2 linked regions of the Neodiprion lecontei genome follow. The protein of the gene in region 1 interacts with the protein of each later gene in a biochemical or structural test. Links are inferred from orthologs where the notes say so. Each region holds a gene or a part of one and is shown in the gene's direction. Other genes may lie near its edges. The genes, in order: metal-response element-binding transcription factor 2 and histone-lysine N-methyltransferase E(z).

The links.
Region 2: the proteins of metal-response element-binding transcription factor 2 (region 1) and histone-lysine N-methyltransferase E(z) form a complex in vitro, tested with the Drosophila melanogaster proteins (2 studies listed by BioGRID). The link is inferred for Neodiprion lecontei from reciprocal best matches to the Drosophila melanogaster genes Pcl and E(z).

Annotation. Positions count from the first base shown.
Region 1 is NC_060261.1:15,228,778-15,233,804, reverse strand, and holds the start of metal-response element-binding transcription factor 2, read left to right. Parts: upstream 1-1,856; 5' UTR 1,857-2,327; intron 2,328-4,392; exon of another isoform or gene 4,393-4,395; 5' UTR 4,396-4,406; coding exon 4,407-4,538; intron 4,539-4,665; coding exon 4,666-4,866; intron 4,867-4,956; coding exon 4,957-5,027. UniProt on the Drosophila melanogaster protein: Polycomb group (PcG) protein.
Region 2 is NC_060261.1:24,934,560-24,939,670, forward strand, and holds the start of histone-lysine N-methyltransferase E(z), read left to right. Parts: upstream 1-1,903; 5' UTR 1,904-1,991; coding exon 1,992-2,127; intron 2,128-2,325; coding exon 2,326-2,639; intron 2,640-3,097; coding exon 3,098-3,379; intron 3,380-4,081; coding exon 4,082-4,298; intron 4,299-5,111. UniProt on the Drosophila melanogaster protein: Polycomb group (PcG) protein. Catalytic subunit of the Esc/E(z) complex, which methylates 'Lys-9' and 'Lys-27' of histone H3, leading to transcriptional repression of the affected target gene.

The DNA of each region.
Region 1 (5,027 bases):
GGAATATTATTGATCACAACATGGTTGTTGCATGCTGCACAGGCGATATTTCGTACAGTTCGATAAATTCCGAACACTCCTTGATCAATGAATCGCGTGTCAAGCACCTGGCGATTGTATTCTGCACGAAATATTCGATAGAATTTATATCTTGAATGTTGTCCATAATATTATCGTACAACTCAAATGCACAATATTCAACCTAGCTTACAGTATTAATAAACGATGCGCACTTTATTTTCCTAATGCAACGTATGTGTTTAATTTTTATTGATAGGCCGAAACTAACTACGAAGAAGAAAATCCCTTCTGAAAAACGAAAACGTTAATTGGAAATTACAAATGAGGTTGAAAGACGTCACGTCATTGTAACGATGCAGTTTCAGAAAATCTCGAATTGTCTGAAATTCAGTAAATCATAATACACCGTTAACAATATTGCCATATACCCATATATCGCGAACTTAATTCCTTGAAAGTTACTCTGAAGTTGCAAAATAATAATCTTTCTTTCAACTTTTCATTGCTTTAACGTTACCTATACCTTCGACCTCGTTATTATATACGCTGCAAAATCCTTCATGTAGAAATGTGTATATGTATAAATAATGTATATATTTTATAAATAGCAGTGAACTTGGCGGATGCTCGTAACTGATTCATCGGCCGATACCTGATAGACATATTACGATTGTCACTAATAACGTTTTGAGACCATCGGTGTTGAGAGTCATTTCCTACGAATGCTTTTTATATCGTGTATATTATGAGATCAAAGCTTTGAAATATTTCCTCACGTATAATTTGTGTGTATGTTTGTCTGCACGAAAGGTGAGAAATATGAGACACCATTGATATGCTTAGTTTATTGTATAAAATAAAATTGTACAACACGTATCTATAGCCGTAACAGTGAATTCACCAATAAAATGTAATATTTATTTTCTACGTCAATTCCTCAATCTTCATTCCCTTCTCATGTGCATACAGCTATTGAATCTTCCTAATATTTTCCGTTTGTCAACTGTATTATCCTCCTCTTAATAAATTCCGTTCCATTGTTGTTATATATTCAAATTAACAATGCAGCGAAATTTTTCATCGCTGAGCAGAAGAAAGGAGAAGAATTAAGAATGGCGGAAGAAATCGGTGCAAAGATTTCAAAATGGCAAATCATTGAACGCAAACAATGCGTGAAAAGCGATTGAATCTCGGTGCATTATAATTTGCAAAAAAGATTACAGTTGTCGCGATACAGGAACGTGCGTCACGTAGTACACATAATGCACGTAATTCTTACGTCACATGTTGTGGCTTGGCGGTCCCGTGACAGCAGCGAACATCGCGTATACGTAGGCATATAAATATTGCATTGCAAGTGCCCCGATTATTATTTTCCCCCTATTGTTCCTTAGGTCAGACATGAACGGCCAGTTGCCGATAGACATAATGATGCTTGTAGAGTTCAGTGCGCGTGATCAATTCCCGACACGACTATAAAACCCGGGTGTCGGGTTATAGAATCAGGCGTGTGTGCAAGTGGGTATGAAGTTATTACGAATGCACCACCGGACCGCCGACGAAGTATGTGACGAAAATGACCGGCTTCTGGTCTTTCCCGATAGCGATGTAAATACAGCCGTAATGTTGTAGATCGGTCGAAGGGTGGTAGGGCACAATTTCGTTCGGCGGTGAGTCCGGATCAGCGGTTAATTTGTCACCCCCATCGACGAGTTTAAAGGACCTTTCAGAATGTAAACAAATTGGAAAGGCGGACAGCATTATGGCAGTGAGTGTACCGTCAGGCGGAAACTGGACTGCTTCACGGTTTGACGAACTAGCGTCGGATCGAAACGAAGTCTCGGTCACCGATCGGTCGGTTAAAAAATATCTCGAAACCGGCCCGGCCTTGTTCTTTAGTGCTCGAATTTTTTCAGTGCGATGCAAGGATTGTTTATGTTGGGTTATTCGGTCGCTGATTTGACCCGCGTAGCAGCCCAGCAAGTGTTTCCCCAAACATGGCGGACGGAATGTATTCGAATTTGTTACATCTAGAATGAAATTAGACCGAATAATCGGCACAAATGAATAGCTGTAAGTGCGGGAGGTAGCTCGAGTCGTACTTAATGGATGTAAGAAACGATCGGTACAACGACAGGTGATTCGAGTCTGTGGGGATTGTGCGGAGACTAAATGAAATAGGATTTTGCCGCGCGCGGCCGAGTCTGTCGGGGCAACCGTGGCGGGGCCCCCATGGTTGTAAATGGCTGACGAGATGGAAAATGAAGAATAACATTCGCCTCTGATATTCCGGCCTAGACGTCAAGGTACGACCCTCAGAATATCGCGCTGGTTATCGCGAAACTTTCAATTTTATGTCACAAGTACACCGCTCAAACTCACCCAGGCTTCTATCTTCTTTACTCTTTTTTACACGGGGTTGTTTCGTCCTACGATTATCTTATATGAAACGATTGATTCGGTCTGTGGGGGATGCACACCGACCTCCCATGCACCCCCTGGGCGTGTTTCCGACTTTATCCCCGTCCTCCGACGACTCGAATATCATTCAAAATCCCCGAGACTTCGATCAGATTTTCTCAAACCTTGCATGCATTGACCCACTGGCTGAAAGTCCTCCAGACATCCGACTGTTTTTATTTTATTTCGGTTCTGATTATGTCCTTCGTTCGTTTCATCCCTATTTCCTAAAATTCATTATTCTATTTCTTATCGAATCTTTTGGTCTTCCACTCGTACCGTTTTCCAACGAAAATATATTCCCCCCGCAGATTCTATCAACGCGCAGCCAAAATTTACCCTCAATCATCTTTTCATACATTTATTTCTTTTCACCTTTGTACTTACACATACTGTAATTGTTTTCAATAAAGATTTTACCATCTATAAAGATTCATTTCTGTACCCGCTCTTTTGTCTTCATGTTTTTTCAACCTTCACACATTTGACTCGATCATCGATATAACTGAACTGACACAACTGCCAGCGATGTCTCAATGTTATCCACATTCATCCACCACCTGCCGGTTTCGTCTCTCACATTCATTGGATTTAATTTCTATAAATGTTGCAACATACCTCTTACAGGAAATTGCTCTACATCATTGGATGTTCATTAAACTCACAAGACCAGATTTCTTACGCCAATATCATCGCGTCATTAGACTTGAATTCAATGTTTTCTAACTTAGTTTTATAGTAGCTTAACATGTCAGTATATCAAACACCTAATTTGCAGCATCTAGACGAATATACGTATACATATATGTATGTATGTATGTATGTGTGTATATATATATGCGTACATATATCTTTATGCTGATCCTTCTCTCTGCCACAGAAACATTTATTTTTCATTCAAGTCAAACATAAGTACATTTTTCATAATTATATGCATACTTGTGTGCGTCAATCCTTTATTTTGTAACAGGGAAAAACGTATCTCTGTAAATCCTGGAATTTAAAATGTCTCACTACCACTGATCATTCGGGTATGCTTATTGTAACTGCATGCGCCTATTTACCTTACTGATTGGGTATTCATAATATCTCGTTTGTGAGCAAAGTTCGTCTTGATACTAACTATTCTATGAACCTTGTAACCATGGTAAAATTTATGCATTCAAAGGCAACCGATGCAATCGCAAGAAAGTTTCTAATATTTTTCAATTAGCCGCTAAACTTTTCACATTATCTTTTATGCTAGGGCAACTGGTCATAAAAGACTGCATTGATCTATAAATTTTATCGTCAAAACATTTGAAGACAATCTTTTGTTTCGACTTGAATCATAACTTATCAATAGAAATTCATGCGTGATACAAGTGGGGTGTAAATTACATAATACAAATAGTAGCGAGTATTGATGTATCACTGAAAATGAATTATCACAGGGCGATAAATGAGAGGTTATTTCTTTTTCTTGGAACAGTGAACATGCATGTTTCTTACATTGTACTATGAGCCTGATGCAGAGTTATGATTGTGGCAACTCAGAAATCATAAGTTGAGATATCTGCATTTGTTACAAAGTTTTACATATCACCTAGTCGCTGAACACTCTGCATCATCGCAGTGCTAAAGCAATCAATTTACCAAAGAAAGAAAAATGAGAACAGTAGAATTCTCGAGAGATTATCTTCGAAAGGTTATCGCATAAGTTTCGGTAATACATCTGCGTTTAAGAATTAATGCGTTTACGACACTGTCCATTTTGGAAATTAGCCTTTGATGGTAAGTATGTTGCAAACCTGAAAAATTTGTATCACGATGCCCACTTGTCAGTTAAAACTTGAAAGATAGGGATCAACTCATGACGTTTTGTATATGTGGTATAAATTTGTGAGAGAAAAATTATTTCAACAATTTCAGCAGCCGGGTTGAAAATGTCGGAGCCAGAGGAGAGTCCGGCTGTGCCGGATAGTACAACTAAGGAGCAGCGTCTCGGTTTCTCTCATGGCGAAGACGTTCTTCTCCAGCACAAAGATGGCAAATATTATCTTGGTACTGTCGTAGAGGTAAGCTTGATCATGCAAGTTGAATTTTATCTTCGGGTAGTACCACATTCATCAAAGGACTTCTCAGTTTGCGTTTGAAAAGATCTTTGAACGAGTTTACAATGTCTAAATATTATAATGATTTCAGGTGGATTTGGCCAGGGAAAGATGTCTTGTCAAATTTTTAGACAACACGTCTTCCTGGTCATCGGTAAAAGAGCTGGCAAAACTGGCAATGCCAGAATCAGACGTGATGTGCGTATTGTGCAAGAAGTCACAACCCAAGGCTGACAATGATATTGTTGTGTGTGATAAATGTGGCCGTGGTTATCACCAGCTATGTCATCAAGTACGAATGAGAGAAATCTCACAAATTTTACTAGCTTCATTCTCATTCACGTGCATTCGGTTATAATTGAAACAATTATATTTGTTTCAGCCGCAAATAGCTAAGGAAGAAACAGTTCCAGAAGCACGTTGGATGTGCAAAAGATGTATAGACAGCCAACC
Region 2 (5,111 bases), about 9.7 Mb from region 1:
CATGGGCAGCAAAGAGCAGCAAGAGTTTAGTAACTTACTAGATGTTACAAAAACCTGTCTACTAGTTTGACGCAGCAGCAGAGCTGTTCATTAAGGGTGCTATTTCATGAGCAGTAAAAAGCAGCAGCTGCAGCAGTTTTCCCCTATCACTTCCGGCGCAAGTTTCTGCTGCTCGCAGTTCAGTAGGTTTGTTCGTACTGCTACACTTTCTACACTTTCGTGGGGAGTGTACACTTGCGCGTTCGCTTTAGCGAACGTGACGTCGGATGGCGCTGTTCGTTTTACAAATGTCACTAGACTTTCGTTACACTTTGACCGTGTTCGTAAATTGACTGACAGTACTGAAAATTCCCTAGGACGGAGTCGGAGCTATCCACGAACTTGGAAGCGCAAAAGAGATGAAAGATTGCTGACAGTACTGTCAGTCAATTTTCGAACACGGCCTTTGTGTACACTTTTTACATTCGGTCTAGACCAAGTGTAAAAAGTGTAAAAAGTGTAAATGGTTCAATTGGCATGAATGCTACAGGTTTTTCCACCACGTTAGTGAACTGTGATGCGATATACCTTAAAACTCACGAGTGACAACAAACCCATAACCTCACTCTAAATCAGAACAAAGCAGTACAGTATTTTACTAAAAAACAACATTCAATTTGATAACGGTATACTTAAAACATAAGGTCTGAAAGATTTCTTTAACAAATTCCAAAAATGCTTTATCTTATTTACTAATTTGTTGTATTAATAAGTGTTTCGAGAAAAAAAACGACTGTTCGTAACGTGCGCCATTTTCTTGTCCCCACTTTTCTGCACCTTCTACACTATTGCGTTCGCGCTATCTTTAGCTACAGTCAAGAAGCCGACGTACACTTCCCAGCAATCCCTAGTACACTACCCTAGTTCTTTTTACACTCGTGAGTGTAGAGTGTAGCTAGCACGAACAAACCTAGTTTCTGGAGCGACAAGCCACAAGATCACAAGAAGCCACGACCTATTTCATGAGCAGCGCTGCTGCTGCGTATAATTACAAGACTGATGCTAGTGAAAACTAGTAAGTTACTAAACCACTGCTGCCTTTTACTGCTCATGAAATAGCACCCTGAGGGTGCGTTCTGAAATTAGCTGACAGGGCTAAAAAATTTCTTAGGACAGAGGCAGAGCTACTCCCGAACACCGCAGCGCAAAAGAGATAAAAGATTGTCGACAGCACTGGAAATTAATATCGGAACGCACCAGTCGATTGCGTTGTCAATAGAGAACATCAACTTGCAGCTTACCGCCCGAGCCATGGAGACCAGAGAACAGGAGTCCGATCTCTATTGAAGAGCATACGAAAAAATCGTCCTCGAAAATTTATCGTTTAGCAGTTTTAGATTTTATCCAAAGCATTGCTGTCATCGTAAAGTTCCGAAGTGAACTTGGTAGGAATTGACTATGTATATTTATATAAACATGGATCGTGACGTGCTTTTACCTCAATTATCTGCACGGATTTATGGACGCAGCCTCCAAGCGGAGCCCTTTCTTGCGGGAGTTTCCAAAAAGACGGAAGGGGCATCGGGCAAGGTCCCTAGATTAGACAGTTCAAGACCATCTATGGATTTACCCTTTGCCACCTTTTACTCGGATTTAATGTCGGTTGAGGTTGGTAAAGCAATCACTCGGTCTTTACTGGTTTTTACGGGTTTTCACTTACTTCAAATGGTGGATTTTACGGAGTATGTTTATAGCATTGAGGTTTATAGGTGATGATCGCCGCCATCGCCGCCCTTCTTTTTGTACAATTTCACTTTTGTCCGTAGGAGGCGCTTTAACCGCATTCAGATAATTCTTACGCTACCTTAAAACTGGGGACAAGTTTTATCGCAGAGTTTTGTCTACCTGCTACAACTCCGTGGCTGATAGGTAGCAGCTAATTCTCTATGAAGAAGACGAAATAGCAGTCGTTTGCAACACGATCTTTGATCAGGTGTCCAGAAGTGAATGGAATGTCGAAAGCTAAAGTCTCGGCTGAGTGGAAGAAACGTGTAAAGTCGGAGTATATGCGCTTGCGACAATTGAAACGTTACAAGCGCGCTGATGAAGTGAAAATAGCATGGAATCAGAATCGCAAAATTATGACAGGTAAACAAACTTTTCATTTTGAATCAATTTTTGTTACACGACAATAATTAGTCTTTATTATTGTCGATTGACATATTCTATTCGTAAATCTTTTAATTTGTTTGGAAATTACTTTTAGCTAACAAACATCGGAATCATAGCTTTAATTGTTGAAATATTTGAACAATGAACCTGATATTTTTTTTGCCTTCTCGATAGAGCTGCTCGTCATAGAGCAGAAACGGTGGGCAGATGGAAAGGCTCTATGGCTGGCCATGCAAGAGGTTCCACCTCATGTTTCATGTATGAAGAAAGCAGAGGTTTCAAGCTCCGACGGTGATATTCAAACGTGTCCAGTAAAAATAATAAATGCTGTAACTCCTATACCGACTATGTATACTTGGGCGCCGATCCAACAAAATTTTATGGTTGAAGATGAGACGGTTTTACACAATATTCCATATATGGGTGACGAAATACTTGATCAAGATGGTACATTTATTGAAGAGTTGATAAAAAATTATGATGGCAAGGTAATCATTTTAAAGTACAAATCAATTCTTAGACATTTATTTACGATCATCTGAGCTTTTTATAACAATGCAATGTGGCAATTCTAATCAATAATAAAATGTACAGATAATGCATCATATTGCGCATTAGAAGAAGAGAGTCTAAAAAAAATTGAAAATTGTGAAAGAAAAGATTTTAAATTTATTATATGTGTCAGATTTTATGTATATTATGTAAGGTCAAGTTTTGCTTGCGAGTTGTGAGTTGTCCAAAGCTCAAAAATCAAAGAGAAGTGCAGAATTTTAGTGCAAAATAATGATCATACTAATTTACAAGAATAATTGGGATTGAATTTTTGGATTTAAAGGTCATACAAAGGCAATTTTTTCAAGGAATTTCAAGTACAACAATCCTAAAATGTATCATTTTACTAATTGATCAATATTCTATGAATTTTATGAATTCATGAATATTTTAGGTTCACGGTGATCGAGAGTCTGGTTTTATGGATGACTCTATATTTGTTGACTTGGTAAATGCTCTGATGCTATATGAGAAAGACGACAGAGATAAGGAACCACCTAAGAAATGTAAAGAATCCACAAAAGATAAGGAAAGTTCAAAAGATGATGATTGCGAAATAACAGAGTTGGAATGTATGAAAATTGAAGTGAAATTGGAAAAAATTGACGAGGATTCAAAAGATTCTAGGGACAAGGAATCTCGGACTACACCTTTTCCTTCTATGCACATATTCAACGTGAGCTATTTAATATCCCAAATGACGTAAAACAATTGTTTCTCAGAACAAATTGAGAATGCTAAATGCTGCTTATCCGCAAACAATATGATAAATAAAAATAATGAATAATCTTGTAGAATAATGGATATGGTTAGTAACTAATGGTAGTGGTTAGTAGTATAAATGTATGAGTATTATCAAAAAAATTCAGCCGTAATTCAGCTTTATTCCTTAGAAAATTAAATATCTTCCCGGTAGTAAACACTACTCAGAGAATCAATTGAAATTTTTTTTTCACCATCAGTTCTAGCATGCTGCAGGTATACTGATTGAATGGTTGGGCTGTGTGTTTATTGCTAGATCTTGACTGACAAAAGTTGTAGATGTAAACCTCTAATCTTTAAAGTTATTAATCCAGGCTATCAAAACTTGGCCATAAATAGTTGTTTGAACGAGTTTCTCATGACATATCTGAAGTTGAAATCTTCAAACATTTTTTGAAAGAATGTTATACTTCCATTTTGATTATTATTTGATATTAGGTCGACTGCATTCTTAAAGTATTATGAAACAAGTTTCGAAACTATTTTATAGTTGAAAATTAGTAAATTGAAGTAACAAGTGTTTAGCATTGCAGAAGTCAGTTTCATCTGTCCTGAGATTCAGTTTGAACAGAAATCTGTGTATGTATGGAAATATGTTTCCTTAATATATTTACAGGCTATATCAAGCATGTTTCCTGACAAAGGTAGACCTGAGGAGCTACGAGAAAAGTACATTGAGCTTACTGAAAGATCTGATCCAAATGCATTACCTCCAGAATGTACGCCGAACATAGATGGTGTTAATGCTAAAAGCGTTCCTAGAGAACAAACAATGCATTCCTTTCATACGTTATTTTGTAGAAGGTGTTTTAAATATGATTGTTTTCTGCATCGTAAGTATATAACGATCTTGGAGGATCTGTGCAGTACATAATTTTTTAAATTTCAAATTCTAGTTCAACATTTTTTTTATAAAAATTCAATATGTTTGCAAAGTTTTGATTGTATCTCAGATGCTTGTATTATTCAATATTATTTACTTCCATTTCATAAAAACAAACTGATTTTCAGTTTTTAAATATTTTGAACAGAGCGGTTGGCTACATCGAATGTGCGCGAAAAAAATCTAAAAACTTTTTCTCACAAGGGGATATCGGAATAGTTTATTGATCAGCTGAGAGTTTATCAACAAAAATTTAAGTTCATAATATAAAATATTCAACTTTTCCACAGGAGACAGCCCAGAAAATGTTTAAATATTTTTTTTTTAATCAACTGACTATATTATTTTTGACAATTCGAACAGAGCCATTGACGATAGCCAAAATTTTTTATCTGCTTTTTTTCTTTAGCTTAAATTTCCTTGCCTTGTAAAAGTTTGAGTTTGTCTTGCATGTCATTGTTTCACTGATATTCGCGAATATCTAAGCTCACATATTATAAGCTTATGAAAAGCTTTGCAAGATTTTGTATATATTTTCTGCTCTCTCATAGATCTGTGAAATGCTGTTGAAATGCCTAAATCGTTCAGTACCGGTAAATGCTTGCAAGAAAAATGATAATGCTAATAACAATATGACATTACTTTGAGCAAGTCACAATACATTGTTTACACAATGTGTTGCTTTTCACAAAGTAAATTATGATATCTCCGAAATTTTGGTGGCAAGATTATAAAAATTAAATGGCTAGTTTTGTGTCCTTAT